Linked DNA regions of Astyanax mexicanus. The protein of the gene in region 1 purifies or fractionates together with the protein of each later gene. This does not show direct contact. Links are inferred from orthologs where the notes say so. Each region holds a gene or a part of one and is shown in the gene's direction. Other genes may lie near its edges. The genes, in order: katna1 and katnbl1.

Region 1 (16,627 bases):
AAAAAAAAAAGCACTGTTGGACTTACAGCCCAGTTTGTGCCCTCAGACTCACACACCAGATTCAACCGCTAGAATCTGGCCTTCCCCGGCCTAAAGAGACTTAACAGAAGGTACACACACACACACAGATCGCAGCTACACAAACCTGAACCACAACTCTGACCAAGTTTAAATACAGTTACGTTTGACCTCATTTTGATTAAACTACTTCTAGGAGACATACACACTCTTTCTGTTTAGTATGTGCATTCTGTGTTCAAACTGGTAGCCTCAATTCAGAAAGGATTTCTCCTGTAGACCACATTTCAACCCATGACTCTGCAGATGTTCTGGATCTTCAGTCATTTCAGCATCTGATCTCAGTTGGGAACAGAAATAAAAAAAAAAAGATTTTGGACCTGTTTTTTCATGATGTGGTTTATGTTGGTCTGAGGCCATTTCTAGTTACTTCTTGAAGTCTTAAAGTGGCCTTTGATCTCACACTGTTGACTCCCATTAACATCCTATTCCTAAATGCATGTTTTTTCTTCTTAACATTGCCCAATTTACTCATTACACTGGTGGACCTGCCTCTATCAATTCTACAAATAACCAAGCATTAATTTCTGACAATTGCATATAAATATGTGTCTATCAGTCGCTGTCTTTTACTGGAAAAGACCAACAATAGAATTGAAATTATAAACAACCAGAGTTTTTAGTGATGTCGGTAAATTCTATTTAGTGCTATTTTAGTCAGTTTTTATTGACAAAATGGATGTTGAGTGGTTGATGAATTCTTAAATGCTGGCTTTCATTCATTGTCTCATAAAGAAGTGTTCACTACTAAAGCCTGCGTTTTCAAAGCAAACCCAGTTGCCTGAAGAGGAGCCTGTTCAGATCAAACTAAATTCTTTTACTTGATTCAAATTCAGTCAAATTCATTTTATAGTTTTTATAGATTCAAATTTGTAACAGACGTTTTTACATTTAACTTACATAGTGTTAGTTCCTTTTTCAGTGATGAACTCAAACGTGAGTTTTTACATCTTTTTTTTTTTCTTTTGACACATTTGTCCACTGATTCGTCCTGCAGTTTCCTAGACACTGTTCCAACCAAGTATTGAAACATCTCTTTTATAAATCGTCGATAAACAGAAACTTGCGCTTCGGCTGCGCGCAGTGCCCTAGTGCCTGTCCGATGAAAGTAATTTAAAAACCAGGACATTTTCTCACTTTTTAAAAAAAAAAAACCCGGGACAGGACGTGAAATACGAACATGTCCTGGGAAATACGGACGTTTGGTCACCCTACAACTAACTATCTGCCCTCGCTGAGGCGAACTTTGTGATGCAGCAGTTACTTCAGAATCACAAAGCTAGAACCATAGAGTCTAAAATACTTAATGTTAAAAGGCTTAATGTGTGTGTTTTTCCACTGAAACCTATTATATAACCACAAATCCTAACAAGGATTAATGTGCTAAAACAACGAACCAGAAAGACTAAACATCTCTAATTTATTTCACAGCATAATAAAGACTGTAAATATTAAAACGTGGTACAGTGTTTAAAGCTGGTTCTGGGGTAATTCTGTGCTGTTGGGTTAGTGATTTTCTGCTGTGGCACTTTTAGCTCTCCTCAGTGAGGGCAGTTAGTTCATTAGTTGGATCAGCTGACTGTAACATGCTGTAAACATTCGTCCGGAGTTCACTGGTGTTGTGCCGAAGAGAGTCCCCTGCCGATCTCTGCGGCTGTGAGGTCAGTTCACTCCGCTGTAGCATTAGCTAAAATACAAAAATACAGGAACAGTCATGTACAAAATAATAGAACAATTAGAGCCTTAACAAACTGAACTCTATCCTAATAACAGTTAAACATGAAAAATAAGACTCGGTACCTGAGAATGACAATTTTTTTTTTCCTTAACAAAGATATATTATTAACTTTATCTGAGAGAAAGATGCTCCTTAAGGTACCAAAACTATTAACATATTTGAGTCTAGACAAAACAACTGTTATTTTTATATTTTATAAGTTTTTCTTTAAGAAGATGAGAATGTCCTCATTCTTTTGAAAGGGCTGCTCTTTCAGCAGTCACAATGTCCCCGGCGTGTGCTGCGCCATTTGCTAGCGCGCGTGCTTGCGTAGCTTAGAGGAAGGTATCGTCGATCATCTTTTTGATGCTCGAGACCATGACATCATTTCGATCGATTTCCATAAAATATCGAAATCGTGACACCCCTATAGACTACAATTGTCATTGTCGTCTAATCATTACGTTGTAACAGAACCGCATTACACAACATACTGGGGACAAAAGGAACTTGGTCTGTGTCTCCAAAAGTGCCCAAACACAACAGATTACATATTTATTAACTAAATATCAGCACTCTCCACGCTTAAACAACATGTGGACATTTAAATGCCTTTTAAATCTCATGTTTAGCTGTTTCTCTGTTGTTTTTAGAGATGGAGGACATGGCAGAAATAATCGTTGACTAATCGAAAAAATGATCATCAGATTAGTCGACTACCAAAAAAAATGTTGGTTGCAGCCCTACATTACAATAGTACTTATAAAAGTGAAATAAAGTAAATTTTATAAAAAAAAAATAAAAAAAACTGTGAATTGTAAAAGTGGTCTCTCTCACACACACAAACACACACAGTCTCAGTCACTCACCTCAGTCACCACGTAGCCTGTCACTCATCTCGTCCACAGTGTCTGCCTAAACATCTAGCCAGATAGCTCATCATTGAACAATTTGTCTTTAATACGTTTAAAAATAAAGAAAACTTAAACAAATAAAATAAAACAAAACCCTGGAAAAAAAAAAAAAAAAAACGTCGAATAACAGTTCCGGCTAACTGCTGCTCTTATAATAACATTTAACAACAGGCAAAAAACTGATTTATGTAATTTATGTAAAAATTAAGCTATTTTGAGAAGTGACTGCCTATTTAAAAAAGCAACAGAAGTTGTTTATTTGTTTTTAAAAAAAAAATAATTTAATTTAAAAAAAAAAATGTATTTGTTTTTTATTTGAGAAGACTCCAGGAGCAGAATGTGTATAATAACTGCTTATGACTTCATTTTAGATTTTCCTTCTGAAAAAATAAATAAATAAATAAATAATAAAAATCAATAAGTTATTAAACACTGGGCTTACTTTCACATGTGAATCAGATTTACTAGCTAATCAACTTTAAAAGCAGACAGTCTTTTCTCTTCTAATTAAAAAAGAGTCATTTCTAAATTAGAATGGAATTTTTTAGTTATTTAGCTTTAAAAATCCATATTAAACTTTAGAATATCTTGATTTTCTCTTGCAGCCGTAAAGAGGCCTCACTTATCACATCAATCTTGGACACTAAGCAGCCTCACATTAGCAGCCTAAAGAAAACAGAAAAATATCTTTTTTTTTTAAACAGCACAAAAAAAACACTATAAAAAACTAAATACATGTATTTAGCTTTACACAATAGAACTAGTAACTCCAGCTGGTGTGTTTCAATAAATACATAAATAAACAAATAAATAAATAGGATGATGTGTGACCCTAATAGTAAATATTTAACATATGTAGTTAAAGAACAAAGTTGGAGCAGTTGCCTACTGGTGCCTCTGTGCTATTTATGCACTCAACATAACCAAGAGCCTCCAGCACCATTTAAAGTGGAACGGGAAAATTTTAAGAAGGATAATTCATTAATAATGATAAAAACTAAAAGAGAGGTTGGCTTTCAACTCACCAGAAAATGTTTGACCAGAAAATGTCACCCACAGCAAAAGAACAATAGAGACATAACAGTACATCTGTAAATGTTAGACACAAGACAAAGTAGAATTTAACAGCTATTCACCTGGGTACTAATCTCAGTGTTGAAAAAAATAATAATAAATAATAATAATAATACATTGCAGTGTTTGTGGTGTAGGGTAATTTACCACAGCACGACTTAGATAAAACTCGGATGTGAGAAATCTCAGAACATGAAATGATGACCAATGAGTCAGAGCTTAGAATTTAAAATATATTAAAGTTTACTTGAAAAATAGTTTCAGCATTACAGATATATAAAAGGAACAAAAATTACTAGATATATATTAGTAAAGAGTAAAAGTAAATCAACGAGTCAAAAACCTCGATAGATCAACACATTCACAACCCAGAGAGAGAGAGAGAGAGAGAGAGAAAAAAAGAAAGAGAGAGAAAGAGAGAGAAAAGAAACTAAAGCCAGTCGAGGGCCAGAGAGAACTCCTCAGACTTCATCCAAGCAGTTATACATTTATGCAAATGACGTGATTGGACAGAACTTATCAATATGATTACGTCAGCAGAGTCCAGTTAACAGTTTGTTGTCCAGTTTTAATGACGTGATCCGCTCCAGCCTGTCTGAGCAACAAGTTCTTATCATGATGTTGTTCAGCACTGTCTTTCATGAACACAGCAGACAGTCCTTAAGTGTCCTAAAGTCTGTGAGAAGATGAAACAGAGGAAAAGAGTGGATGGAAAGATCTTCTGGCCTGTGTGCGACTTTACGTCGTGTAGAACAGGCATGCGCTGGCTATCTGAGGAGAGGTTCCCAGCACTTCACTCAGAGAGCTTGTTGTCTCCTAGTTCATATGCACTGGTCCCAGAACAGCAGTGAAGCTTCTCAGCCACTCAGGGTCACGTTCTCCTCACAGCTCTCATTGTTGATGAAAACACTCTGACCTTCCTGATTCCTGAAAAAGTAAAAACAACCTCCAAAGCCTTGTGTCATTGTGACAGTTAAAAAGAGAGCAAAGATCATAAGGTTATTAAGTGAATTATAAAGTGAACAGTAAAAATAATAACTGTTAATATAAATCAACATTTAATTAAACATTTAAGAATAAGAGTGTGAAGGTGTGGTTATCTCTAATCACACCCTTCAGTGGACACCCCTTGTAATAGTGTATAAAGCCCCAGTATTAAGCTGTGGAGCAGTGGAACTGTGTTCTCTGGAATGATGGTGTTCATCCAATACTTTTAAGATGATGTGAGATACGATGGACTGGTTATCATCCAACAAGATTGTTTAAGAGTCGTAAAGAGGAAAATTCTAGCTTTAAGCTAATGCTACAGTGGCGTGAACTGACCTCACAGCTGCAGAGATCGGAAGGGGACTCTCTTCGGCACAACACCAGTGAACTCCGGACGAATGTTTACAGCATGTTACAGTCAGCTGATCCAACTAATGAACTAACTGCCCTCACTGAGGAGAGCTAAAAGTGCCACAGCAGAAAATCACTAACCCAACAGCACAGAATTACCCCAGAACCAGCTTTAAACACTGTACCACGTTTTAATATTTACAGTCTTTATTATGCTGTGAAATAAATTAGAGATGTTTAGTCTTTCTGGTTCGTTGTTTTAGCACATTAATCCTTGTTAGGATTTGTGGTTATATAATAGGTTTCAGTGGAAAAACACACACATTAAGCCTTTTAACATTAAGTATTTTAGACTCTATGGTTCTAGCTTTGTGATTCTGAAGTAACTGCTGCATCACAAAGCTCCCCTCAGCGAGGGCAGATAGTTAGTTGATTAGTTGATTATTTGGGTCAGGTGTGTTGTAATTAGAATAAACCAATGACCGTAATTAAATATTAAATCTGCAAGGAAGCGCTGCTTATTATCTGCCTTTTAAAGCTCTAACACAGACTACACTGCTTAACATTACACTGCTCACTATTACTGAGAGAGTTTTCACCTGTTTAAATACTTTAATGATCCTGTGTAAGAAAAAATATTAATCCAAAACGCAATCTGGCCGGAGTTAGCTGGTGTAGTGCAGAATTGAGCCTGCAGCCATTGTCTGCCGCTGTGCTGTGACGTTACGCATTAGCTTAAAGCTAGCATTTTTCTAATTATTACCCCTAAACAATCTCAAAATTCAGAGGATCCAGTGTTGTTCAAGATGTACATATATACAGAATAAAACGTACAGGGTTCTGAACATATTTATTTACCACAGTGTTTAAAATATTCATTTTTTTCATTGACCTGAACCGCTTAGACACTGAAACCCCAACCTGGCGCAGACTACAAAATGACAACACGACTTCAGTGGTCTATTCTTGTATCACTTCTTGTATTGTGTCTAAAAGAGAGGGAGAGGGAGAGAAAGGAGCTCCCCTTGTGTGCATATTCATGAAGCACATACAAAACCAAGATTTATATTTTATAGATAGATAATCCCTATATTATATTATATATAATATAGACAGATAATCCCAAATTGGTCCGGGGGTACCTCCCTGAAATTAATTTTTGCAACTTGGAATGCCCAATCTGTGACGTTTAGTCATTAGAATGGACGTCCACAAAGATTTGGGCGAGGGTACATTACAATAGGTCTGTAACGATTAGTCGATATAATCGACAATATCGATTATTTAAATTTGTAGACTACAAATGTCATTGTCGTCTAATCATTCATTTGTAACAGAACCGCATCACACAACGTACTGGGGACAAAAGGAACTTGGTCCGTGTTTCCAAAAGTGCCCAAACACAACAGATTACATATTTATTAACTAAATATCAGTACTCTCCACGCTTAAACAACATGTGGACATTTAAATGCCTTTTAAATCTCATGTTTAGCTGTTTCTCTGTTGTTTTTAGAGATGGAGGACATGGCAGAAATAATCGTTGACTAATTGACTAATCGATAAAATGGTCATCAGATTAGTCGACTACCAAAATAATCATTGGTTGCAGCCCTACATTACAGTAGCACTTATAAAAGTGAAATAAAGTAAATTCTTAATTTTTATAAAAAAAAACAAAACAAAAAAAAACTGTAAATTGTAAAAGTGGTCACACACACACACACACACACAGTCTTAGTCACTCACCTCGTCCACAGTGTCTGCCTAAACATCTAGCCACATAGCTTATCATTGAACAATTTGTCTAGAATACATTTAAAAATAAAGAAAACTTAAAAAAAAATAAAACAAAACCCTGAATAAAAAAAAATAAAAAAAATTAAGTAGAATAACAGTTTCGGCTAACTGCTGCTCTTATAATAACATTTAACATGGCAAAAAAAATATTTTTTTTTTTACGTAAAAATTAAGTTATTTTGAGATGTGACTGCCTATTTAAAAAAAAAGCAACAGAAGTTGTTTATTTGTTAGAGTTCATGTGTAACATTTCTAACATATTTTAAGGTGTTTCACTCATTTGTTTTGTCCCACAACGTTAATCCTTTACAGCTTCAAAAACATATATTATGCAAATTAGGCGATGGCGTCATTTAGCGACTTCCTGCAACTAGGACAGCCAATAGCTACTTTCCTTACTGAGGAGTTGGCAACACTAACAGCATATTACACACAGCTGATCCAACTAATGAACTAACTGCCCTCTCTGAGGAGAACTGAACAGAAAATCACTAACCCTTAGTGATTAGATTTTTTTTTAATTTATGCATACATAAGACCTAAAACATCATAAGATTTTCACTTATGTCCCAAAATTAGACAAAGAGAACTTAGTTAAAAACACATTTAACTTAATCCCATATAACCCATTGTGTTAAACTGTGTTAATGCTGCTACACCCAGGGGCAGATTTTACCACCACGCAATTGCGTGGGGCCCCCGGGATCACTGGGGTGGGGGGTTGACATATCTTGACATCAAAATTTCACACACTCCTAAAACTGGTGGAAAGCCTTCCCAGGAGAGTTGAAGCCTAAAACATCAACAGCAGAGCTGAAACATCATATTAAACCCTATGGATTAATAATGGGTTGTCACACAAGTTCATATGAGCGAAAATGTAGGTGAGTACAAATACACTTTGTATGAAATGTATGTGTGAGAGCGGTGTTCAGGAGTCTGAGGCTGCATCCAGAACCCCCCAAACAGTTGCTCTTTTGTACTTCCGTTCCCCCTCCTCTCCTCTGTGACCCAGAAACTGATTTCATGATGCCATCTTGCCACCTGTCTAAATACCAGAGGAGAAGAAAGAAGCCAATAACACCACAGTATGCTACCCAGGAAATGTTTTATAGATTTTGGGTTGGCTTTAATTTCAATTCAATTCAGTTTTATTTATATAGAAGTTGTCACAAAGCAGCTTCACAGAGAAAAAAACAGGTCCACACCTCTTATGAGCGAGCACCACAGAAATGCCAAAAGAATTGTGGTGACAACAGTGGCAAGGAAAAACTCTCTTACATCTTTGAGGCCTCGCCCACAAAGCACCTGAGCACAGATTTTTAAATCAAATTAATTACTTATTAATTCATTTATTTTTTGACATATGTATGTGTCGAAATAATACTTAAAAACACTTGTGTAATTGTTGAACATGTATCATCATCTATGAACAAATAAAAAAATAGATAAAATGAAATAAAATTTAAGAAATAAAAAAATAAGGCTTTCTCTTTTATTTGATTGGCAAATATTTCACATAATTTCAGAAATATAGAATTTTCTCTGCAATGAACTGGAGTTTACACATCCACATTTAACAGGATGACCATATATCATATGCTGAGATTGGCTGGGCAGTGTTAGGGGAGTTGAAAATGAGCGCTGTGATTGGCTCAGTTAATAAGTAGTCAACATTCTATTAAAAGGCATCAGCTGTCCCATTTTCTCAATTACTGCTACTTCTCTCCATTCTTCCTCCTCCTCCTCTATTCCTTCACCTTCTTTCGGGGTAGGAGAGGAGGAGTAACAAAAGTTACTGGACGCAGCCCCAGTGTAGAGACTTTTATTTTGAAGATAATTCAAACAGCAGCTGCTGTACTCACCCTGCTGGTGTAGATGTGAACTGGGGCGGATTTAGAGCTGGTTTATAGGGAGCCTGTCCACTTCCCATCTCTACCGCTGTATCAGAACATTACTAAGAACCGCTAGAGGGAGCCCGCGAGTGAGGCCACACTGGATGGGGTTGAATGGAGCTAAAGGGATAAAACTAATTAAAATAGTAAAACTACTTTCTCTGAATATTCCTTTAATTGTTAAAAGTATAATAATGTATTTTCCTAAAAATAAATGAAAAGAAACATACCAACATATTTTACTTTTTTCAGTAAACAGGTTTTAGGTAGTTTAGGCGCTCATTTTTGCTATTGTGCGCTGAGTGGTTGGTGAACTGATACTGGATTTACAGTCAGATCTCTGAGTTTAAAAGCTTAATAACTGGAGTTTTACCCTTTTAACAGGCCAGGATTTTTGTCAATTGTCTGCCTGACATTACACCTCTAAATCTTGGGGATTTCTATTTAAGCATTACATAAAAAGCTTTCATGTTTGATAAGAAACATTACGGAAAAGCAGAATTGTAATTGTAATAGAAAATATAAAAAATATATTTAAGCAAACCTGCTAATGTCAAAATACAATTAATAAAATCATAAAATTGGCTGAAATCCTGAAGAGAGAAAACAGCAGCTTCTGCAAGTGCCTTGTACGAGATTTCAAAGCCCTCAAATTTTCAGAGTGTAAAAAAAACTTATTTTACTGCAGAAAATAAGGGATTTCTATCATCTCCACCTGTAGCCCGTATACAGGTCAAGGCACGTTAATATGTTAAACGCTTTAAAGAATATCTCTGCAGTACTGAAACATTTGATAATGTTCTGTGTTGGGGAAATGAGAACATTTTTCATGATACAAATACTTAAACATTTATAAACTCTGATTTTGCTCCGTTTCTCCATATAAACCCATTAATTTTGGTCTCACTCGTGAGCGCCCCCTGGTGGCTCTACAATTCCAGCAGAGACTCTTAGCTCAGTGTGTTTTCTCCTCTCCAGAGATTCTCTCCCGGGTTTACCTTCCTCCGAAACTCTGCCAACAAGTGTCTGTAGATTTATTCTGAACTTCAGTGACTAATCTCTCTCTCTCAGATGCTGAAGTTCGTGCTGGAGGTGGATTGTTCGCAGTGGTTTGTTTTTTTACAGGCTGCTTCTGTTCAGCGCTGAGACAAGTGAGTTATTTCAGCTCGATCATACTGAACTAAACTTTATATAACTTACATGATTTTGATAACCTGCTCAACCAACGATTGACTGCTCCAGTCTGAGTGGAGCCGGTGTGTTACAACTAGTGTAGCTAATAGAGAACTATAGCGCTGTAAGAGAGTTAAACGGGGAGTTTTATCAGTTTTTGGGTGTTTGTCGTGGATTTTCTTGAATTTGTGAAGTTAATCTTAAATTACTGGGCTATTTTACCGTCAGTACAGACTTAGACAGTAACTTTCTCTTCGTTAACCGAAAGGTAAGCGAGCGAATTGTATTGTACCGTGTTTTTGTGTTTGGTTTATTTGTATTGACTCTCTTGCAGTCTGGCTGTAACTAGGTTGACTAACCTACGTGTTTTTGTCGCATTAGCATTAACTTATGTTGGCAGCCATAATAGTTTGCTATGCTAAAGGTTATGCTAATGTAGCTAGTTAACTAGGTTAACTTAGCTACTAATTAACTTAACTAAATTAAGTTAGTTAACCTTGTTGACTAGCTCAGTTAATTAGTAAACGCTAGCTACATCAGTTTAACAGTCTTCAAACTATTAGCTAAGCTAACTATCGCTATGCTAGTTAGTTAGGTTAGCTAGCTAGTTGATTAGCTTAGCTGGGTTTGTTAGGTAAGTTTAGCTAACGCTACCAGCCGTAGAGTCTGTTGGAAAAAAAAATCACATAACATTAGTTAACTTAGATAATTACCCATAGTTAGCATTAGTTAATCTTATTTAAGCTTTTTTTATTGATATTTATCGTGTTTGCCAATTAGTAAACTTACTAGCTAGCGGTAGCTAACCTAATCTAAATAAAAAGTAAAAAAAAAAAAAACCTCAGTTTTATAAAAATAAGAGTTAATACACACTAACCCAAAATAGGCCATCGAGACGTGTGTCACAGACCCTTCTACAGCTGTGTACTTAAATTAGTGGTGTTTTTTTTTATTCAATGTCCAATTATCCAGTTAATCACAATAGAATTATGTGATTAATCACACTTTTTCTTCCTTAAGACTATGCGTTTGATAATGGGTACCTTAATTACCTTAAATGTGTATAAAATAATCAGTGATAGAAACACATTTGTAGTATTGGTGCCAAGCTCTTAAAAAAAATAATCCCAACAATATTCTTTGACTAAATCATGGATAAAATCATGATGGTACTTAAGATACTGTATTTTTTGGAAAGGGTTAGTAATAATGGTGTAGTGTGGTTTACACTTTTTCTTTACATTATTATATAATTCTCAGGTTAGTTTTGATGCCCTTTAACTAGAATATTATAATGTGTCGAGTTACAGAGTTTTTTAACAGCTTGAAAAGAGAAAATGTGTGTAAGCATACACTTCAGTAAAAATAAAAGGCAATATACCTTCTGAACTTAACAGTACGCGTTGCTGTTTAATGTCTTATGCGTCACCAGGCTCTGTCAATATTGTCACAAGATTAAATTGTGTTTAAAAAATAAAAAATAATAATTCAAGATTTGAACCACTCAAAAAAAAAAACATAAAAACAGTCCACTTCGAGATTAAAGTCGTAATATTACAGGATTAAAGATCAAGAGTTGCCCTAACACGCTGTCGTACAGGTTAATTACATCAGGTAACTCGTTAATGTTGACAGCCTTAGTGTAAAATTTCTTACAGCACTTTATTTGTCATTTTAACTGATGAAATCTTAGTGAAACATACCAGAAATCTTAAGAGGATCACAGGACAGTTTTCACTTTAAAAGTGTACAACTACTAAAGTACGATGTTAAAATGCCAGTTTTAAAATTGGTGTTGTCAGGATTTTTATTTAAAAATATTTAGTCATGTGCCCACAATAGGAAAAAATCATGAATGGGTTGCCTGCTGGATTTATCTGATCAGTAATCATAAATGGGTCTGAGTTCTTATGGTTTAAGTTGTGAAATGTTCAGCAGTTACAGAGAGACTAGCCTTACTGACCTATTTGTCTTTTTTATTTGATTTGAGTTTCTTTCAGTACTAGCTATTATGTTCTGGTTATGGGAGGTAATTTCACTGTGTCCTCTTCCAGAATGAGTCTTGTAGAGATCAGCGAGAATGTAAAGCTGGCCAGAGAGTACGCCCTGCTGGGTAACTACAGCTCGGCTGTGGTTTGCTACGAGGGAGTGCTGGAGCAGATCAAGAAATACTTATATTCAGTGCGAGACTCTTCTTTACAGCAGAAATGGCAACAGGTAAGACTACAGCCTCCCGGGACACTGGTATGGTAACCCCTGGAGTTACTGGAACTGTCATTACTAATTGCCCAGAGGCAAGAGTTGCTGTTTGAACTGCCATTGTGTTCCACATTCATGCAAACATTAGTATAAAGGTGAGGCAAGTGGTTTGATGTGTAAATAGTCTGATTGTTTTGAGCTTGTTTGTGTCCTGTGTTCAGGTATGGCAAGAGATCAGCGAGGAAAGAAAGCACGTGAGGGACATCATGAGGACACTGGAGAGTTTCCAGTTGGAGGCTGCCCCGTCAAAGCCGAGCAGTTTCAGCCAAGAGGATGATTTTATGCCTGCCCAGGTGGAACATAGGTATACCCATAGAATGACAGGTTATTTTTCATCATTTTGAAAACTAAGGACAGCTATGTGATGGATATATCACTAATGCTGAGTGAAGTCATGCCATTTTATCTATGACTTTAAGTCAGTGACATGGCTTATTTACAGGGGTGATAGCGTTCCGGCGCAGCGTGGCTCTATAAAAAAAATATATATATAAATAAAATAAATAAATAAATAAGTAGAGCCGGTTCAGGTATTAAGTCCCGCCTCTCAGTAGAAACAGCCAATCAGCTTGCTGTTTTTGCGGCGCGCGGAGGAAGCCCCTCCCTTGCTGTGAGATTTAGCAGCGGGATCGGACGCAGCAGCTTCAGCTGATTTAAAAACAGATCTGGATATACGGAGATTTTTCTCAAAAAAAGATAACGGTAGGCTAAACACGTAAACTGTGATGATATGTTTCTGATAGCTGGTTAAAAATACACTTCTTGTATCAGCACACAGATTAAACCCACTGTGATTAATAAACTGCAGCTGTGTTAGTGAGTTAGCTTGAGTTTGGAATTAGCTAGATAGGGAGTCAAGGTTTTAGAAAATAAATAAACTATATATGTAATGTTCAACTTGCCCTGTACCTGATCAGCTAATCACTATTTCACATATTTCACTGTCGTTATTAGTTTAGGATTACAGGAGAAAATGAATATAGCTAATTAGCTAGAAGCCAGATGTAGTGGATAGTCAGAATTTAGTACAGTACTTTATGTTTGTAGTTTAAAGCAGTTTCTTAACCCTGATCACTGAACTAAAATTGTGTTTTCCACCTGATCTTCATTTCACCTAGATTTTCACCTGATCTTGATTTTCACCTAGAGTGACAGCTGTCACAGTGAAAATTAAGTGGAGTTATTCACCTCCTTTTTTACACCTCCTGAACGGATCAGTGTTTTTGGGGCCGATTCCGATCGCCGGTCGTCTTTCACCACGATGGGCCGAGCGCCGATACCGATCTTGGGCGGGGCCAAATGCCACATTAATGCCACACAGGTGCCTGGCAAACCTGGCTGGTACAGATTCCCCTAATTACATCCACACCAAAGCAAACACTGGTAATTTACGCTGCTAGTAAATAAACATGAATGTTACTGACCAAAATAAATGCTTTTTAGGAGAGATATAAGTTCTGTGTAAATATTTATAAGACAATACCTGACAAAATCAGTTTTAATGACGTTAAATAAACATCACTGTGACAGCGCTAGTCGCAGTTTCACCGCAGTAAAGGACGAGGAGGTGAATCACTTATCTAAGCAGCCTTTACTGATTTCTGCTCCAATAACCCTTTCAATAACCTCCAATAGCCTTTAATAGTCTTCAGTAGCCTTCAACAGTCTAACCTTGCAGCCGTGGTGTGTCCACTAAACTCCGTAGTTATAAACATCATGAGGTTAGCAGCGCGCTAACTGACCTGTTTATAATGTAATCCGAGCAGTGCCTCCGTGACAACTGCTGCTGTTAGCTGCTTTGGCTGATAGGTGAACTGTAGAGAGCTGTATTATCCGTTTTTAAAACCTTTTCCTACACAGATGAACTTAAAAAAAACGTGTAAAAAAAAACGCTCCAGACTGGCTGAGCTGAGCTCTGTAGCCCGTGGCTGGGCTGTAGCTGTGACTGAGTGAAGAGAGCGGGGCTTGTGCTGCTGCTGCAGCTCCCACTAGTGGTTGGATGAGTAACTGCAGCTTCTTGTAAGTGAGCAGTTTCACCGGTTTCACCAGTTTCATCCACACACAGCTCTGATAAACTGCTTAACCCTAAACTCCTGAATCAGATCGGCTAAAATCATAAGAATATCTGCAGAACAGTGTTAATATGCAGAAGAATATACAGAACAGTGTTAATATGCAGAAGAATATACAGAACAGTGTTAATATGCAGTAGAATATACAGAACAGTGTTAATATGCAGTAGAATATGGAGAACAGTGTTAATATGCAGTAGAAAATGGAGAACAGTGTTAATATGCAGTAGAATATACAGAACAGTGTTAATATGCAGTAGAATATGCAGAACAGTGTTAATATGCAGTAGAATATGCAGAACAGTGTTAATATGCAGTAGAATATGCAGGATCAGGGTTGAGAAACACTGCTGTAATGTGACTTCTGTTCATTTGTAGTTCACAGTAAGACCACATGTCCTGACGTTTATAAAAATCTCTATGAAACATAAAGTTACATTATTTTACACAAGGACACCATCTTAAGAAGAGCTCTCAGTAGAAAAAAAATTAAAAGTGCACTTTTTTTTTTACAAGAGTGGAGAAAATGTAAATATGAAAATGAAAACGTTATCTAAAATGTGTCACTTGACAATAAGGTTATACACAGACTATTAAATGTTTGAATAATGTGTCAACATTTATGCCTATGTTACGTCACACATGCAGTCTGTTGTCCCTCCCCAACAACCCCCCTAACCAGAGCATCTGAAGTTGGCACTACAAAACATTGCAACAATGCAATAAATCATTATATGACATTATATGAGTGACACGTCAAGAATCTTCAAGCCTATGTTTATATACTGGAAATACATATTATTAATGATAGTGATTTTTATTACATAAAGGGCTATTGGTGCAGTAAATGGCTTTGCCTTCTTTTGTTTTGATACTCTGAGCTTTGATACTTTGCTTTAACTGTCTTTGCAGAGATTAGACCTCCAGCAGAACTGTCATGTGAAGTGGATTAGTATCCACGTGGCTGAACTTGGCCTACACACAGGCAGCTGTGCTTTGTTTTTTCCTTTTCTTCCATTTAAAGTTATTTAAAAGTAATTTGACTGTAATCTAGTTTGAATATGCTTCATTGTGAATACAGGCACATCAGTTTAGACCTGATTAAATCAGTTCCGAATTCCATTAAAATATGATTTTGGCCAGAAATCACAAATTTTCCTCTTATATTTCCTGAAGTTGATCCACAATGACAAATGTGCTGTCTGAAGTTTGCTTTGAGACAAAGGCAAATGTAACTTCAGAGATTGTGTACTTCAGGTTAGTAGTGGGTGAAATTGTGTGTGATCGTGTTCAGGCCATCTGCGGTTCGGCGGGCTCCAGTGCCATACAGAGAAGGTAAAGCACATGGCAACCGAATAAGTGTTGGACCTCGCTCTCAGCACCGACAGTCACCACGTGTCCAAAACGGAGACCGAGCAAAACCTCCAAAGGGCAAGGAGAAGAAAGACAATGGGTCCAAACCCAAAGAAGACAAGGTAAGAATAGGCATGAATGAATGGATTTGGGGGAAAAGACCCTGTATTAACTAAAGTGTAAGTCTGTTGTGGTCTACTCTTAAAGGGCCTGCAAATACACATTGTAACCGTACACTTCATTCTGTCTGAGCAAAATGCCTTTGGCTGTATTGACTTGACCTGTGATACCGGTTTCCCCTATTTGTGCAAATAAAGGCAGATGAGAGCTAAAACAAAGATTTAATACTGAAACCCAGGCTAAAGTTGTTCTATTTAATGTTAGTAGTAATTTGGTAAATAAAATATACCTATTTGTGGGTTTGTTAAAGTAACAGTTTTGAAGTTTGTTCAAGTGTCTCTGCAGAAATAACTTAATAAATTGAACTAAAGCAAGCATTTTCCCTAGATAACAGTGCACTAACCTACTTTTACCTACTCCTACACCTGCAGAGCAAACTGGTTGCCTCAGAGACAGAAGTAAAAAAGTTTGACAGAGGCGGAGAAGACAAAGATCTGATCGAGACATTGGAGCGAGACATCATCTCCCAGAACCCAAACGTAAAGTGGTGTGTTCATCTCCTTCAATTTATGGCAATTTTAAATCTAGAGTTTGCTTAAAGAATGTCACACATACATGCTTGCATCAGCTCTAAAAACACATTTAAAAAATCTTAATGACTGCAGAGCTTAAGTAGTTTCCATTTCCAGGGAGTAGCAAGGCTTTTGCTGTGTGGTCAGTAATAGGACTGCACATCGGATACTGTAAATAAACTGAAATTGCAATATATAGCTCTGGAAAAAATAAAAGACTACTTGTAAATGTTGAATGATTGAAAACCTTTGGAATGTAATC
Region 2 (17,463 bases), about 29 Mb from region 1:
AATGACAATATTATTCCAAAGCTGTATATTAAAAAAATAACGTTTATCATATTTATTAGACTTCAGACTGCACACAAATCCTATTATCTCAGCTTAATTACTTTTTAATTTCACTTAGTAATTAGACAGTTTTTTGCACTAATACTGGCATTTTGATATTCTAAAATAATTTTAATGACTTCATATTAAGCTTTACCCCAACTAACTATGGAAACAGTATAGTAAAATATATTATGTAAAATAATACTATTAATTGGTGAGCATTCAGCTTGTATCTTCAGTCCCTTGGAAATAAAGCAGTATGAAGGTTACGATGTTATTGATGAAAGGTTGCCTTCTTAAAGAGGCAGGGTTATCACAAGATGACCCAGTTTACAGGGAATTATCCGAAAAATAGCTTGATATTTTAATCAAAATAATTCAGTGAATAATTGAAATGACAAAATTATTATTAAAAAAAACATTTTCAAATCATACTTTATGAAAAAAGCTCTTAAAAGAATAATTCAGCCTGGTTCCAATCTCATTCATGTCGCTTGCCATTAGCTACTGGTGTCACGGTCGAGAGGGATGGACATAAGTGCAAATATATATTTTACAATTTACAGCTGACAACTGGAGCCCTGAGAGAGCACAATTGGCTTTGCTCTCTCTGGGTGGGTAGCTGGCCCTCTCTCCCCACATCTCTACAAAGGGTGATGTTGATCAGCACTAGGTGTCTGTGAGCTGATGTACCGGAGCTACTGAACGCAATGTCATGTGACCGAAAAGTTAAAAAAAACTCACTTGTCCTCCCGTTTTTTCATTTGCACCCCATTGTTCTCCCTTTTGGCCAATTTGGAAGGTCAATTATCCAATGCCCATTTATATGAACTCCTCCTATCACTAGTAATGCCCCTAACACTAGGAGGGTTAAGACTAGCCTCATCTTGGACCCCATTTTGCTCTGTTATTTTTAATTACATTATGACATGAGGAAAGGAACACTATTCAACCTTCATTCTAAAGCTGTGAAATTTCCTAGTGAAGACTGTGAACAAGCCATACACTGAATGTGTGCATGTTGTGAGCATGTGCACCTTTGATAAACACTCCTGTGAAGCACTGGTCTATTACAGTTATTCTGGTAGGTTTACTAACCAAGTCAGTGACCTGTAAAGTTTCTGTGCAGCACAGGGATGGAAGTCTACATGGTGTTCAGCCACCATGGAATGCGTCCAGCCCTGGGCACGATGATGAATGGCCCCTCCAACTCCACTGTATCCTGTGCTGGCACATGAGAGGCAAGTCTGCAGTCAAGTTTCGTACGCCACCTCGGGTATCACCTTACCACCTGAATGAGCAGCCCGTCAGAGTCTGGAGACCCGGCACTGTCCCTGCCCCTGGCACACCCTATACACGGCAAAATGCTGGCTCACAAACAGCCAGCGACTGTTTCCCTACCTTCAGCATGTTTTCCATCTCTTCCTCTTCTAATTTGATCACACAGGGTTGCTTTGTCCACTCATAGCATGTATGCATTCAGTCAGGAAACATATACAGTATGGATTTATTCAAATGCAGCAGCCTGCAGTGTTGAGCTCATCCACTGAGCGAGCCTTTATTTTATTTTCTAAAAGAACACAATCCCAGCCTCCAAACGATTCTGTCAGAGAGCATTCCCATTAGCGAGTCAACATGACACAGACTAACACTTTAGTTTCTACAGCCCAAACTCTGAAGAGAGACGCCTCCTTGATTAAACACCAAATGTTCTGTACTTAAAATTAAATTAATTACTTGTTTTTTCATAAATACAATGGATAACACATTCAGTGTTCTTTGGCAGTAAACCTCCACAGCACGATCTTAAAATCCGCCCAAACATCTGTCATATGCTTTTCATTTAATTAAATTACAACTTGAAGGTTTTTAGCAAGTGAGATTTTTTAAAACGTTCTCATACACAGTTATAAAAAAGAGTTCTGTGATTTCATTAAATTATTGGTCTATCCCTATATGATAATTATGTCAGAGCAAAAAACTTGACCCTTAACATCCATCCTGAGTGATTACATTATAATTGTCTAGTAAAAAATTACAGGTGTGTACAATATACAGAGTGTATCAAGGATCATAACCAAAACTTCATAATCTGATCAATCAAACACCTTTCAGGGGTAGTCAGTTATGCATACGACCACAGTCTTAAGGTCAAATTACAGTGCTGTAAAAAGTATTTGCCCCCTACAGATTTCTGTTGTTTTTGATTTTTATCATATCATACTTACATACATCAGATTAACAAACACATTTTAATATCAGAGAAATATAACCTGATTTAATATATAAAAACAGTTTTTAAATGATAATTTAATTTAGTAAGGGAAATAATCTATCCAAACCAACCTGGCCCTGTATGAAAAATATTTTCCTAAACCTTCCTAAAAAAGTTGGTTGTGCCCCCTTTGGCAGCAACAACTGCAATCAAGCGTTTGTGATAACTGGCAATGAGTAACTGGTAATCTCTGTGTAGACATTTTGGGCCATTCATCTTTACAGAATTGTTTTAATTCAGCCACAATGGCTTTTCAAGCATGAACTGTCTGTTTAAGTTCATCCACAGCATCTCAATCAGATTTTGACTAGGCCACTCCAAAACCTTCATTTGTTTGTTTGTTTTTTAGCCTTTCCAAGGTGGACCTGCTGGTGTGCTTTAGATCATTGTCCTGCTACAGAACCCAAGTACGCCTGAACTTTAGGTCACAAACAGATTGTCGGACATTATCCTTTAGGAATTTCTGGTAGAGAGCAAAATTAATGGTTCCATCAATTACAGCAAGTTGTCCAGAGTTGTCCTTTCTCTGAAATTATGTGTTTGTTTGATGCCAGATGTAACGGGACACACACCTTCCAAAAGGTTCCACTTTTGAGTATGGCAAGTAAGTATGACCAAAAAGCAAAACAAAAAAAATCCCCACATCACACCAAAGGGTGATGTTGCTCAGCACAAGGCTTCAAACACAGAAGAATAAATGGGCACAACGGTGTAGGTTACTTAAGTGTGAGGCAGCCTGCAGTGTGACTGTCAAAGTGCCAAAAATTCTTCCAGACAGCAAATCACCAGCCATATTAACCTTTTTACTACCAGAACAGACGCTACGACCGCAAGACCACACTGTCTACCATTTACACAAGTTGGCAGAGCAGATTACAGTAACTGATGGCAAACTGGTAGCTGCTTTGCAGGTGAAACTTTGAACTGAGGACTCTCTTACCGAAACCGGCAGGAATTTAATAGAAGTAAAATATTGCATTTATTGACTGGAAGAATATGGACCCCTAGACACAGCTGGGTGGCCCTACACCTTTGAAACATGATCTACTCCAGTGTTCTCCAGTCAACTGTACCTTCATTTAATACTCACCAGGATGCTTCTCAACACGTGTTACATACCTGCGAATGAGGTCCTTCACTGTGTTGAGTTTAAGGTCTACAGGTAAGAGTCTTGTGTTTTTAGCGCACAGACTTCCTGAACCAGACCTGCTCACTCCAGACCCTGGGGACAGATACAGATCTCCTCTGAATACAACCACTCTTCATAAGTCCCCTCTGCGGCAACGTCCAAAACAAATGGCTGGGCTGCCTAAAATCAAAACACTACCTACTCGCCAGACAGGACACGAGGTGAAGCAAATAGCCTTGGTATTTCCTGTCAATTACATGTCCTAAGTTATTGACAAAAACTGCATTTGTGGGACCAAGGCATACAAAATAAATATATTTTATTGTATAATTTTGTATAACTTGATCTCTCGACTAGGAAGAAGTTAAGGCTCCTACTGTTAAGGACCTGGATTATTTTACACTAATGCACAGAGATGTCACATAGTTTAAAGAAATATTTTAACTATGGGACAAAATAGCAGAATATGACTGTAAACTGATTGGTTCAGTCTTTGGTTAATATTAGCTGAGACCACATTATTTTTAAGTTTAAACATTATGAGTTCCTGAGTAGATATCTAACAAAACAGTGACTAAGAGCTAAAAATGCAGGATGTCAGTTTGATTTGAGGATGTTTTACATCTACATTAACTGAACCATATGTGAACCAATTATCCAACCCACTTATAGGGGTGATGCCCCAACACCAGGAGGGTAAGGACTAGCTCATGCCTCCTCCGATACATGTGAATTCAGCCACCACCTCTGCTGATGCAGGATTGCTGAGTAGCATCACAGCACGCTCGGAGGAAAGCGCAACGACTCTGTCCCGATACATCAGCTCACAGACTCCTTGTGCTGCAGACATCACCCTTTAGAGTCCTGTGGGAAGAGAGAGAGCGCCATCTACCCACCCAGAGAGAGAGCAAGGACAATTATGCTCTCTCAGGGCTTCGGTAGCCGATGGCAAGCTACATGAACAGGATTCGAACAATCTGCCCTCTTTTTACAACTGAAAGTCTAGCTCAGTGAGTCTAAAGCAAGCTGTGATCGCTACTGTGACGTGAGGTGACGGGGGAACTGTGGGTCCACTCCATGCTAGGACACAGAACCGGTCCCAGCTGGGCCTCGTTGGACCCTTAACCCTCACTCAGGAGAGGCACTGGTAGTGAAAGGAAAGCTGAGGCAACCCAGACCCACAAACACTAGTAAAGTGAATTTATTTGAGTTTGCTTTGGGTGTGGTGGAGGGCGTTTTAGAAATAAACATACATTTCCCCAAAATTAAGGGTGTATGTATGTAAAGGAATCATATGTGTTTTATTTAATATAGATATGTTACCCTGAAGTTAAAATTCATTGAGGCACAATATCAAAAACAGGTTCACATAGGTTCAGAATTGCACTGATTATAGGTAGGTCTGCTTTTTAACATAGAGGTCAGAAGTTTTTGAAGACAAATATGGTCGGTGGTTAGGGTTAAAATGTTTATGTAACATATAATTAGTTGAACTCTTGATGCAATCCTTATTCATAACCCCTTCATATTGGATGAGGATTTTGAGGATACATTTTAATTTAAACAAATGTACTGAATGACCTGAGAGTGGATCATACAGAGAACATTGAATAAGACTGTGTAACCTAAGCACAGTTATATCTGTCTACAGGCTCCTAAACAGTAGCTATAATCCGTGGGGGAGGCTCTGGCAGTCTCACAGCTCAGTAAAAGCTCAGTGAAAGTTCAGTAAAAGCTCACAGTGGGAGCTGCAGAACTGCAGAGCTCCTTCATGGTCACAACAGACTCTACAGCTTTACACTACCATCTTGTGGTGAAGAACATTGTGGCCTGATCCAATACTAACATTTCCGGTTCTTATTTCTTTGTCTAATCCGTCTTAACAAACCTCAGAAAATATAAACATGTATATTGTGATCTGCACAACAAAGGGCTTAGGTTTCAAAGTGTCAGCAGGATGTTGTGTTTTTTTCCACATTGCCCAACACTGCAACACTACAACAAAGGATCAGCTGCTTGTACTAAATACCACCTACTTAGCCGAGTGACACCTCAAAATACATCACAGATGTTGTGTAAATTGTCTTATCCTGAGCTGAACTCCATCCATTTCATTCAACACTGCCTTATTGTTCCAAACACTGCTCCAGAAACATGGTGAGGAACAAAAGAAGAAACTGCAAGCAATGGTACACAAAAATGGCCATTTATAAAAAGCCATCAGAAATAACATCTGGCATTTGAAGCTGTTTACTATTCTGAATTGCATTCAAGCAGTTGGTTGACTGGTGCAACTGACAGCTGTGTACTAAAAGCTCTATTTAAATGGCCCCTCTTTCTAAACAAGTTTAAACAGTATAGTTTGTAGGCATTGAGAGCCCTGCTGCACAAGAGTAAGAGACGGGCAAGTTTCCCAGACATGGATTAAGTGTATTTTTGGGCTAAAGTGCAGTATCATTGGGGAATCTCCACTGGAAATTCTCCTCAGTCTGGGATTAGACTTAATCTGGGTCTTAATGTCCAAAAGACTGTAGACACCAGCATGTCCAACATTTTTTCTGAAAGCAAGGGTATCAATTGTTCCCTCTTTGCTGCAATAACAGCTGTATACATCTGATAAAGTCCTACATAGATGTTGGAAAGTTGCTGTAAGTATTTGCTTGTGTTCAGCCACAAAATGTTATTACTGAGGTCAGGTACTAATGTTGGATGATCAGTGATTCTGAATCACAAACACCACTTTGACACATCCCAAATTCATTGGACAGAAGTCCATCAATACTGAGGGCTTTTTATCCCTTTTAACATTGGGCATTATGACCTTGAACTTTAATAGTCATCATAATTCTAAATGAATAAAAATGGGCTTGTGTTTTGCATTTTAAAATACTGCATGCAAATGTCTGCCCTGCCAGCAAGACATTTCTAATGGGGATTATATAAAATGTGTGTGTGTATGTTTGTGTGTGCATTTGAGCTTCTTGTCATTTAAATAAACTTAAATGACTGATTAGAAGGGGTGCCTTGATACTTTTGTCATAGAGCGTATTTGTAAAAGCACAATAAATCACTGATAGAAAATGTTGTTTTTTTTTGTCTGCACTGTCTGTCCCAGTGATATAATTATTCTTAATTTCCCAGTAGTATTCAGTAGTGGGAAAAAGCAATGGTCCATGAAACTTGTGCCGAAGAGAAACACATGCACAAATCACTGTGCCCCTTTCATTTGTTTTTAATGGCAATAGTTGTTTCCCTTTGAATCCTCAGGCATTGCTGAAACGCTATGGTGCGACTAAACTCCTCTATGGCTTTGAGGCGTATCATAGGAGACCGCTCTGTGGTCAAAGGCGAAATAGAAGCTATGGCCCTAAGCCTCAGCAGTGGCAGCCTGCCCTCGAAAAGAACAGAGCAGCACTTGTGAGAAGAATCACTTCAAACAGTCTTACGTAATGCAAACACAATTACTGATATTAAGCTCTGATGTCTGGAAGTACAGCCAAGAGCAACATGCCTTTTCACTCTGTCCCCAGGACTGCAGCGTGCAAGCGGCCTCCGTAATCACCAGGGCAAAAAGCAGGATACGGGATTAAGGGGAAGAGATGACTGCTCTCAGTGAGTCCAGCACATTGTAGTAACATAATCTCTTCATCCATGTTAGCTAGCTGCTTCGCCTCTCAGAAGGTCCTGGTTCGATGGGTTATTAACATTTACATAAAGGTCATTTTCAGAATGCTGTGCCTTTTGGTCCTCAAAGCTTTCGCAATATGTTTTTATTTTTAATGTTTTGACTATTAATTATATTTCTCTTTTTTCCCCACATGGACATGAATCAGCTAAGAACACTGACAAACCACACAAATCTGAGAGAAAGGCCGGCACCTAACAGTAGAGTTAGAAACCGGTTGCTTCTGTCTGAAACACCAGTTGACTAATCCTGCTTTAGAGTGAGGATAGGACCGCCTACCTAATAAACACACAAACGAAATAAAGAAATAAATAAATGATGAAATGTGGGGGGAAAATAAATAAATAAATGTTAAAATGTTGAACTAAATAAATGAATTAATAAATAAAGAAATGCAGAAACAAATAAATGTAGAAAAACATCAATCAAAAATAGTATAAATAAATGCAGAAATGTAGAAACAGACCCAAATAAAGGTTCATGCATGAAAATATGGAAATAGATTCCTGTTATAACGAATTTTAGGTTTTAGGTGTGTACTTTTTCATGACAAAATGTGTGTTTTAATTAATGTATTTATCTATACAATTATTTGTGTATTTATTTATCTATTTTTTTTATTTATTCATTGATGTATAAATTTTCTTTAATACAATTTTATTTCTAATCCTTCCCCATTTTCTCCCCAATTTTGCTCAGTTAATTACCCAACCCACTCATTATGACTCCCCCTATCACTAGTGATGCCCCAGCACACCAGGAGGGTGAAGACTAGCACATGCTTCCTCCGATACATGTGAAGTCAGCTACCTATCCTCTTTTCGAGCTGCTGCTGATGCAGCATTGTGGAGTAGTATCACAGTGCACTCGGAGAAAAGTGCAGCGACTCGGTTCAGGTACATCAGTTTACAGATGCCTTGTGCTGCAGAAATTACCCTTTACTAATGTGGGGAGAGAGCACCATCTACCCACCCGGAGGGAGCAAGACCAATTGTTCTCTCTCAGGGCTCCAGCAGCTGATGGCAAGCTACATGAATAGGAGTATTGATTTATTAATTTAAATGTGCATTTATTTATTTATACTCATGTCAGTTCCTGTCCACCATAATACTTGAGAGTTTACATGTTCATAAAAATACTGCATGTTCATGAGATTAAATATGTTTGGTTGTTTTTTTTTGATTGAATTTATCTCTTACCAATCATTGTAAATGTAAAATTATTGTGGGACAAAGCCCCTTATTCTCACTAAGGATTTTAAGTGATTTGAACTTGCCATTCAGTCAAGTTATTCTGATTCCTGTGTCCAAATGTATGATATAAAAACAGGGAATATACTTGTCTTATTTTAAAGATTTTGAGATTGCTTATTTTAGGAAATCTTATTAATAAAAATGTGCTTATTCAACTGGGAGATTTTGTGTAATATAAGCATATACATCTTGAGTTTTATATACATTTTATATTTTTGCTTATTCATTTTTTGCTGTGTTGAAATACTGAGTTGCTCCCATCCTGCCACAAAATGCCAACCAGCACAGATAATAGAAATCCTCAGTTACGCATCATTTAAAAACTTTACCCACAGACTGTCAATCATTTAATACTGTTATTTAAAATAAAAAAAATATGTTTAGCATAAACATCAAATCTGCTATTAATCTTTCATGAAGTCAAACAGACCTAAAATGTCTAAAATTCAAATTAAATTCAAAGTCAGTTTCTGTTATATAACAGTGATCTAAACCACTACAATTTGAAAGCCTAGCATGTTTGTTCTGCAGCTGGATCTTTGTGATTAGGATCAAATTCTAATTCTCAGTAGGGTCTAGGCTATGGTTAAACAGCCCCACTGAACAGTGGTGAGTGAATTTTTGTGGCTGTCTGAATAGGAGGCCTAATGTAGGCTTTTTCATCCAGATTCCAGTGTCAGCTCACTTACTGTTAAATATTTTAAGGTTCTTAGCAATGTCAGATTTTATGAGCAATGACATTTAACAAAACAATTCATAATATAAAGAGCTTCAGTGTAAGGTTTGCCTTGGAGTAAAACATTCAAATGAAGTGTGTCCACAAAGTCTGTCTGTACAGAAAGTTTTAAATTAAATGATAATTTACTTGGGAGTATTCTATGTTATTTTGGACAAGACCAGCTGGTCGTTTAGTAAAAACATACCCTATGCTGATTGGCTAGCTAGTGTTTTTTTGGATGACCAAAGCTCTGGCACAGAGGACTGAGACTTATACAAACAGTCCTTAGGTTTCCTTAAGTCTCTGAGAAGATGAAGCAGAAGATAAGTGTAAATGGTAAGGTCATCTGGCCTGCATGTGTACAACTTTACGTTGTGTATACCTCTTCTGAGAAGAGGTTTCCAACACTTCACTTAGTGTCTGACTCACTTCAGATAGCTTGTTGTCTCCTAGTTCATATACACTGGTCCCAGAACAGCAGTGTAGCAGTGAAGCTTCTCTGACACTCAGGGTCATGTTCTCCTCATTACTCATTGTTAATGAGAACACTCTGACCTTCCTGATTCCTATAAAAGTACAAACCACCTCCAAGGCCAAGTTCATAAAGATTATATATATATATATATATATATATATATATATATATATATATATATATATATATATATATACATATGTAAAACAACAATAAGAATAAGTGTGAAGGTGTGAAGGTGTGGTCATTTCCACTCACCCAATTCAACCATTTCTAAGGTCATCTGATTCACCAGCAGTGATCTAAATGTCTATGATACCGTCTATGATACTGAAAAGAAGTTTGTCTTCAACAAGTTTCTTGTTCTTTCTCTATTCCACAAAAAAATTGAAATTGAAAACCTCTGGAATATATTCAAGAGGAAGATGGATGATCACAAACCATCAAACCAAGCTGAACTGCTTTGCACCAGGGGTGGCATAAAGTTATCCAAAAGCAGTGTGTAAGACTGGTGGAGGAGACCATGCCAAAATGCATGAAAACTGTGATTAAAAAACAGGGTTAATACACCAAATATTCATTTCTGGACTCTTAAAACTCATTTTAGCCATTCCTCATTTTCTGCAAATAAATGCTCTAAATGCCAATATTTTTATCTGAAATTTGGGAGAAATGTTGTCCGTAGTTTATAGAATAAAACAACAATGTTTGTTTTACTCAAACATATATCCTATAAATAGCAAATCAGAGAAACTAATTCAGAAACTGAAGTGGTCTGTTTATATTTTCCAGAGCTGTATAACCTTAAATGACACCTTTTCACCTTATTATTATTACTACAGTATTTTTTTCTTTTATTATTTTTTTGTGATTTTCAATACTTTTTCCATTGTATATTATCAAATAAAGACGAACAATAAATCTAGCAACAGGAAATGTCACATCAGAAATAGAATTTCTAGTCAAGTGCATGGAGATAAAGACGACGCTAAAATTTCAGGCTCTTCCACGTTTCGCCGGTGAAGGTCGCCAAACTCCAGCCTGCTCCTGGTTTTGAGTCCGCCAGAGACTCCCCTCAATCCCACAATCCCAGCAGCCAAAGTTTGTATTTATTTGAATGGTGCTGGCTTCGCCCAGTTCGTGAATGTGCATTAAAATCTAGCTGTCATCCTTTCTGGTGTTTCATCCACAGATTATCACCGTGTTATATTGCCGTAGGAAGCTGAAGAAACTGAGCTTAACTGACAAAAATGCCATGGTAAGGAGAACTTCGTTATGATCAGACTTGAAGGGACTAAGCAGCCATATGTTATTGTGTAACTACGGTACCACAGGTTAGTTAGTTAGCTGTTATCGTTGGCTAGCTGCATAGAGAAGTAGTGAAGAGTTGTTATTTAGTTGATTTCGTGGGTGTCTCGGCTGGGGTAGATTAAAATGAATTAGCTGAAATAATGCTGTGTCTTTTGTCTGTATGAGCTAGGTAGCTAGGTTAGGTTGGCTAACGCTAGCTAGCTAGCTAACTAACTACTTGGCTGACTCTGAACGTGATAGCTGCTAATTAGCAAGGTAGCTAAACTGGCTAGCTAGCTAGCGTTAGCTAATAGAACGGTGGGCGGCCGTCCACAAGTTTTAACTAACGTTACCGTAACAACGTTAAAGTGCCGGTTTTCACTCAATTACGTTCAGGTTACCTGTTATTAGCAGTTTTATATTCGGTCCAGACTGACAAAATCTGTTTGCTCATGGCGGCTAAACATGTAACGTTACCGCTAGGTTATTTAGCTGGGTTAGCACGCCGAGGAGCTAACGTTAGTTCTGTTTTAGACACAGGAGGAATCCACTCCAGAATTTCGTTCCAACTGCCTTGATTGGGTTCGCTGCAGTTTGCAGCCAGCCATGCAGTTGGGACTAAATCCTGGAGTGGATTTATACATTCGGGGCATGGATTTCCCATTTCTGAGTTTTGGAAACTCCTCCTTTAGGGATTGCTTAAACCTAGCTAGTTTAGCTAGCGTTAGCTACCTAGCTAAGCCATTGCTGCGTGCAGGATTTAACTGTCTTGCTAAAACGTATGGTTAGCTTACATTGACAAAGCTGATTCACAAAATTGGGTATTTTAACGTTAATTAGATACATTACATATTCCTGACGCGTATCCGTGTTGGCTAATTATAGCTAATACTTATGTAAGATACCGCTAGCTAACCTAACTTAAGTAAAGTGTATCTAGCTTTAGCATATACGTCTTAATCCGTTATTAATAAAGTGGTTTGTAAAGTCCTGGGCTGGTTTTCCCAAAAGGTTCTTAGCACTAAGATAATTCTTAGATGGACGAGCAAGCTTCACACTGAGCCCTCTCTCTCCATGTTAAGATTTTCTTAATGCAATAAGATGCTTTTGGAAGACTGGGCCCTTGCCGCTAGCTACATGTTGTCAAACTGATTGGGACTGCTTCCCGTACGTGACTTAAGATAAGTCAGATACTACCTAGTTTGTTGTGTTGGATCTCTGATGGAATACAGAATTGTTTAAAGTTGTAGTTATTGGAATAAATGTATTATATTGTCTTTAAAAAACAAATTACATTACCTCAAATGGTTATGGATATAAATTTATATGTCATACTTGGACCAAATTACAGTGCAATTTTCCAATTAAATTTGGGCTTGAAATGCGTTATTAAAGGCAGATAGTGCTAATAACACTTAATTAAAGGATAACTCGGGTGTAAAATTGACTTTTGATGTAGTAAAACATGATAAAGAGTACTAACCTTTGTTGAATAGCCCACCTCCGGTCTCCAACAGCTTCCTGAGATCCAGCAATTTTTATTCAGTTTGTCCACAAATGCTTTAGAATGGATTGTATGGGGCATATTTTGACCCGATAAATTGCTTTTTACACCGTTATCCAGGCTCAGATTAGCTCCACACCTCATTGGTAGAATCTAAGGAGCTTTGACATTTATATCGAGGCATTAATAACTTCAAAAGTGCACAAGAAACTTATTAAAACCACTGTTTAGAACCTGTAGCGTTAGCTACAACCTTGGGTGCCCAGAGATTAGGTTATGCTGTGAGATGTAAACAGGGGTTTTTAATAAGTTTCTGGTGCACTTTTGAAGTTATTAATGCCTCGATTTAAATGTCAAAGCTCCTTAGATTCTACCAATGAGGTGTGGAAACTGCTAAAAAATGACTGGATCTCAGAAAGCTGCGGGAGAACGAACATGGGCTAGTCAACAAAGGTTAGTACTCTATCATTTTTTACTACACCCAAAGTCAATTTTACACTAGAGGTATCCTTTAAATCTACAGCCCTTTTACCCTTATTAACATTACAGGTTGAAACAGAAGGCACACATCGGATCACTGACTGATTGTGATAGTAAATAAAAAACTCTTTGTAGCAGTCACAGCTGTTGTTCTCATCGTGAATAAGAAATGAATCTATGCTTATAGTATTAAAACCATCTTAAAGAAGAAATCTGGTGTGAAATTGACTAAGAGCATTCCAGTGCTCTTAGCTGATGCTCCCAACAGGTTTCCAAAGCTAGCGGGGGCATAGCATTTCACACTTCATTGGTTGAATTCTAAGGGCCCTGACATTTAAAATGAGGCACTAAGAAATTTGAAAGTGCACTGGCATTTTGTTTTAAAAATAATATATAAATAAAATAAAATAAATAAATAAAAAAGACACACAGTGTACACACAAGGTATACACACAGAACCTTGAGGTAGTTCTCCGGGTGCCACCATCTTGACATTACAAATACTAGAGTGTAGGCAACGTGCTCACTCGAAACAAAAGTATAAATCATTCTTTTTACATAAGATTGAGCCATAAAACTCATGGTATTTTTACTTCATGTCTGGACCACAATGCCTTATGAAAAAACTGTAGTTGCCATGCATTGAGTACATTTTTGTCATTGTTCTTTAGAATTCTTGATTATGGCCACTGGAAATCATGTTGGGAATGATGCAGAATTCCACAGGCTCATGCAGGCCCAGTCCTTTGATCTTTTCAAACACCAAAACTGTCTTGGAGATGGAAAGAACATGAGGGAGGTGAGTTCACACATTTTGACATCCCTGAACTGCAAGTTTTATGACGGGAAATGTTGGCTAAAAGCAGTGAAAGCTACTTTTGCCGACTCGAGGAATACTAGTATGCCTATCCTCTCTTTTTAGGTGGATTATTTAAATAAGGAAGAAATAAATAAAGAAAGGTGAGTTTTGAGCCATGGCAATAAGGGCATGATGATCTGTTTATCTCAATGTTGGGATGAATTGATGAGCCATAACCCAGTTTCTAAATTGAAAGAAGCAAAATGATGAAAACATTGTCACTAAGCATTAAAGAGGGTTCTGCTTTGTTGACAGATTTCCAGTGGGACGTTGTGCACACAACTACGGCAAAGCAAAGCGAGTGGTGAGCAAGAAGACACGTCTCTCAGCAGTGGGCTCTGGTGTACGCCGGAGAGCACCCTCAGCAGGCAGGTCCTCTGACATGGCAAACAAAGAAAATGAACTGACATGTGCCGAGGACATTGATGGCATTCACTATAAGGAAAACTGTGGGTTCCCTGTGAACTTGACAGAAGCCTCTAAAATGGCAGGAGCTGGCTCCAAGTATAGTGACTGCTTTACTGAGGTGAGTTCCTTTTGAATAAACTAAGGGAAGCTGCAGATCAACAAGTGATAAATTATAGTACTAAACTTTTTTTTTTTTTTTTTTTTTTTTTTGGAAACACAACATAACAGATAGCTTGCTTAAAATCTGTCTATCTAAAAGTATAAAAATCAATTTTTAATTACTCAGGAACATAGAAGTATTTAATTATAGAAAGTAGAGATGTGACAAGATCTCGTTCAGTGAAATACAATATTTTCATTTATACATTTCAGTTTTAAAATAAAGTGTATATAAAGATTTTTAAAATCTCATCTCATCTTATTCTCATGAACTCGTGTGAATATCGTGTCCCATCTTGTGAGATGAGTCTTATCACATCCCTAATAGAAAAATATTTAAATTGGTGATCTATTGTGCACTACAGATGCAGAAGAATGAGATTGAAAATTACTGCAGTATTCCTTTAGTAGGCTTGATCCTATTGACAGACATTAATGTTTTGATGTCTATGCTAATAACATTTTTCTTTCCCTTAAAGTTATCAAAGGATCATGATGCAGTGACTCATGTGCTGTTTGGAAGGAATCTCAGATTAAATGTTGCTTTAACTCTTTGGCGAAGAAATGCTAGTGAACTTGTGGCTTACTTGATCAGGTAAAGATTTTACAGACTGTTTAGTCATCTTTCACCTTTGATAAAAAAAAAAAAAAGGATTTTTGCATTTGTGTTGTATTAGGTGTATTTGCAATAGAATTTGTAAGTTGTTTTTTTATGTATTATTGTACAGAATACAAGACACTGGGGTCCTTGTTGATTGTCTACCTGTACTTACAAAAAGGTAAGTTAAACAAACTGTGAAAACCATAAAGTACCCCCCCCCCCCCCCCTCGCCCTCTGTGTGTATATATTTAGTATTACGCATTCAGAAATAAAATTAATAATTTTTGCTGCACTGCATTGAATAGTTAAGATAGTAGAATAACAGTTTACTTCTGAATCGTATTAACAGTATTCTATATTTTTCTTTTTTTTTTTTTTTTTTTTAGCCTTCAAGACGAACAGCAATGTATATCCATTGGTTGTTGTGTAGACCTTTTTCCACAAGTGAAGACAATTCTTCTCAGTAAATTTGAAGCGTAAGTTATTTTTTATTGTGAAAATCAGTTCCAAGTGGAAGTACCCATATTTAATTATTTTTTTGTTATAATTTGTTTATTTTCATGTAGGCACCTCATTGTGGCTTTACACTGGGTTCAGTCTGTCATTAAAAAATGGTGGCCTGAACTATACTCAGATGGCAAACGCTTGCAAGATGGCTGTTCAAGTGACAGGTATTATCTCTATTAACAAAATCTTTACAAAAGCAGTTTATTAGGAACAACTATGTATGTGCCAATTTGTGCAGTGATCTTGTCAGCCAAATTAATGGCAAAAGTGCATAATGCAGTTATGTTATAATAGATCAGAATCTCAAAGATGATTTTCCAAAATCTTGTGGAAACCGTGCCATTAAGAAATTAAGTTAAGTTAAATTAAGTCTTGAGAGACTTAAGGTGTTACCATGTGTACTTGTATAGTGTTCCTAAAAAAGTGCTCATACAATTCAGTACAGTACAATACTATGTTTTATTGTGTTTACAAATTTAAGTTTGTACAAAACATTTTGGATTTCAGAAATATTCAAGCTATGAGAAGGCAGCTGCTTGACTTATGGGATGAGGAGAGTCGATTGGCCTCAGTCCCTGGAACCGTGGGTGAAATAACCAAGGTTTGGTGCACCTTATTTATATTTTTAGCATATGTTATGGAAGTATTATTGGGTCTCTTATTCATGTTTTCCTTCTCTCTTTCTCTCTAGGCTATTGAATCATATCTGTCACAATTACGCTGAAGTAACAATGTAGCACACTGAGGAACCAACCACTACATGCACTTGCTGCAGTTTTCTGGGCTGCTCCTTGAGGAACTGCAGCCAAATGAACTGATGATTTCTATTACTCCAGAGGAGGAAGCTGTTGTGAATGGGATGATAGATGAACTAAACAATTCAGACACTCCCTACATCAAAACTGGAGACATTTCTTAAAAGGTGAAACCCTTCCTGCAAACTTTGAACGACTGCTTCACATTGAAGTGGACTTTATTAATTACTGGCACACTTTCAACTCCATGAGACTGTATGGAATCAGGCAACTCACAGAAGTGCCAATCGGAGGTTTTAGCTGACACACTGGTAGTGCCACGGTGTGCGTCTACTGAAGTGGATGTGATGATGTAATGTATCGTGTCTCTGAGCATATGGTGCACCGACTTTGATTGAAGAATTCCAAGTCCAGCAGTCTTAAGTTATTAGGTCTTTCACTCTCTTTTGCCTGTTCATGATTGAAATATTTGTATGTGTGCGTGCATAAGTAATGGTGATTTTTCTTTTAATCAGCTTTTAAATAAATTTACAAAATCTGCCAACAATGCTTATTATTATTATAAAACCTTACATTTTGAGAGAGGGAGTTTTTACAAGCCAAAACCGAACATTTGCCAAATTCCTTTCTTTACCTTCTTTATCCCTGGTTACATGGCTTTTTGCTTTAATAACAGCACCAGTTGTGTAAGGTCAGTCTCTAGAGGTCCTGTACATTTGACCCACTCTTCCTTTAACAGAGTGCTTCATCAAAGCTTGTTTCCAGCTAGAGAATAGTAGGTTTTTCAGCATGAACCCAGAACCAATGTTATTGTGGTCAATAAGCACTGTCAGTGACTGGTTCAGTATACATAATGAAAACAAGGCAGATTGGCTGACTGATAAAACCACCAGACCTCAATCTCAATTCTCAGACTGAACATAAGATGAAATGGAGAAAGGTAGCTGCAAATAAACCTTAGCTGAAATGTGTACCACATTTTACACTGGTTAAATGGCTAGGGTCTGAAACCACATACAATATTTTTTTCTGAGGAGATTGTACAACTATATGCTGCAGGTGTATTCTTGATGGAATAGAAGGTGGATTATAATATAATTAAATACCTTGGCTTACACTTTATATGCTGGTATGCATCTTCTAAACAAGGTAGAAAGTTATATTTAGAGAGCGAATCTGTTCTCTCAGTTAATCAATCTATTCCCTCAAATTGTTCCAGAAAATTAAGTTGTTTAAATTGCTCTGCATTCACAGCAGTAAGGATTTTATCTGGTCTCACAGTACACACCAAGTCCCAGCAGTGGCTGTACTTCTTTATAAGGC

What was found.
Region 2: the proteins of katna1 (region 1) and katnbl1 purify together in Homo sapiens (affinity purification with mass spectrometry; 3 studies listed by BioGRID and IntAct, counting the BioPlex papers as one, with this or other methods). This does not show direct contact. The link is inferred for Astyanax mexicanus from reciprocal best matches to the Homo sapiens genes KATNA1 and KATNBL1.

Annotation. Positions count from the first base shown.
Region 1 is NC_064408.1:47,387,732-47,404,358, reverse strand, and holds the start of katna1 (katanin p60 ATPase-containing subunit A1), read left to right. Parts: upstream 1-9,773; 5' UTR 9,774-9,967; intron 9,968-10,006; exon of another isoform or gene 10,007-10,257; intron 10,258-12,043; 5' UTR 12,044-12,044; coding exon 12,045-12,206; intron 12,207-12,409; coding exon 12,410-12,552; intron 12,553-15,614; coding exon 15,615-15,795; intron 15,796-16,224; coding exon 16,225-16,340; intron 16,341-16,627. UniProt on the Homo sapiens protein: Catalytic subunit of a complex which severs microtubules in an ATP-dependent manner. Microtubule severing may promote rapid reorganization of cellular microtubule arrays and the release of microtubules from the centrosome following nucleation.
Region 2 is NC_064408.1:76,332,239-76,349,701, reverse strand, and holds katnbl1 (KATNB1-like protein 1), read left to right. Parts: upstream 1-10,634; 5' UTR 10,635-10,835; intron 10,836-12,752; exon of another isoform or gene 12,753-12,824; intron 12,825-13,522; 5' UTR 13,523-13,533; coding exon 13,534-13,650; intron 13,651-13,773; coding exon 13,774-13,811; intron 13,812-13,965; coding exon 13,966-14,236; intron 14,237-14,756; coding exon 14,757-14,872; intron 14,873-15,005; coding exon 15,006-15,056; intron 15,057-15,264; coding exon 15,265-15,354; intron 15,355-15,444; coding exon 15,445-15,549; intron 15,550-15,892; coding exon 15,893-15,986; intron 15,987-16,076; coding exon 16,077-16,109; 3' UTR 16,110-17,262; downstream 17,263-17,463.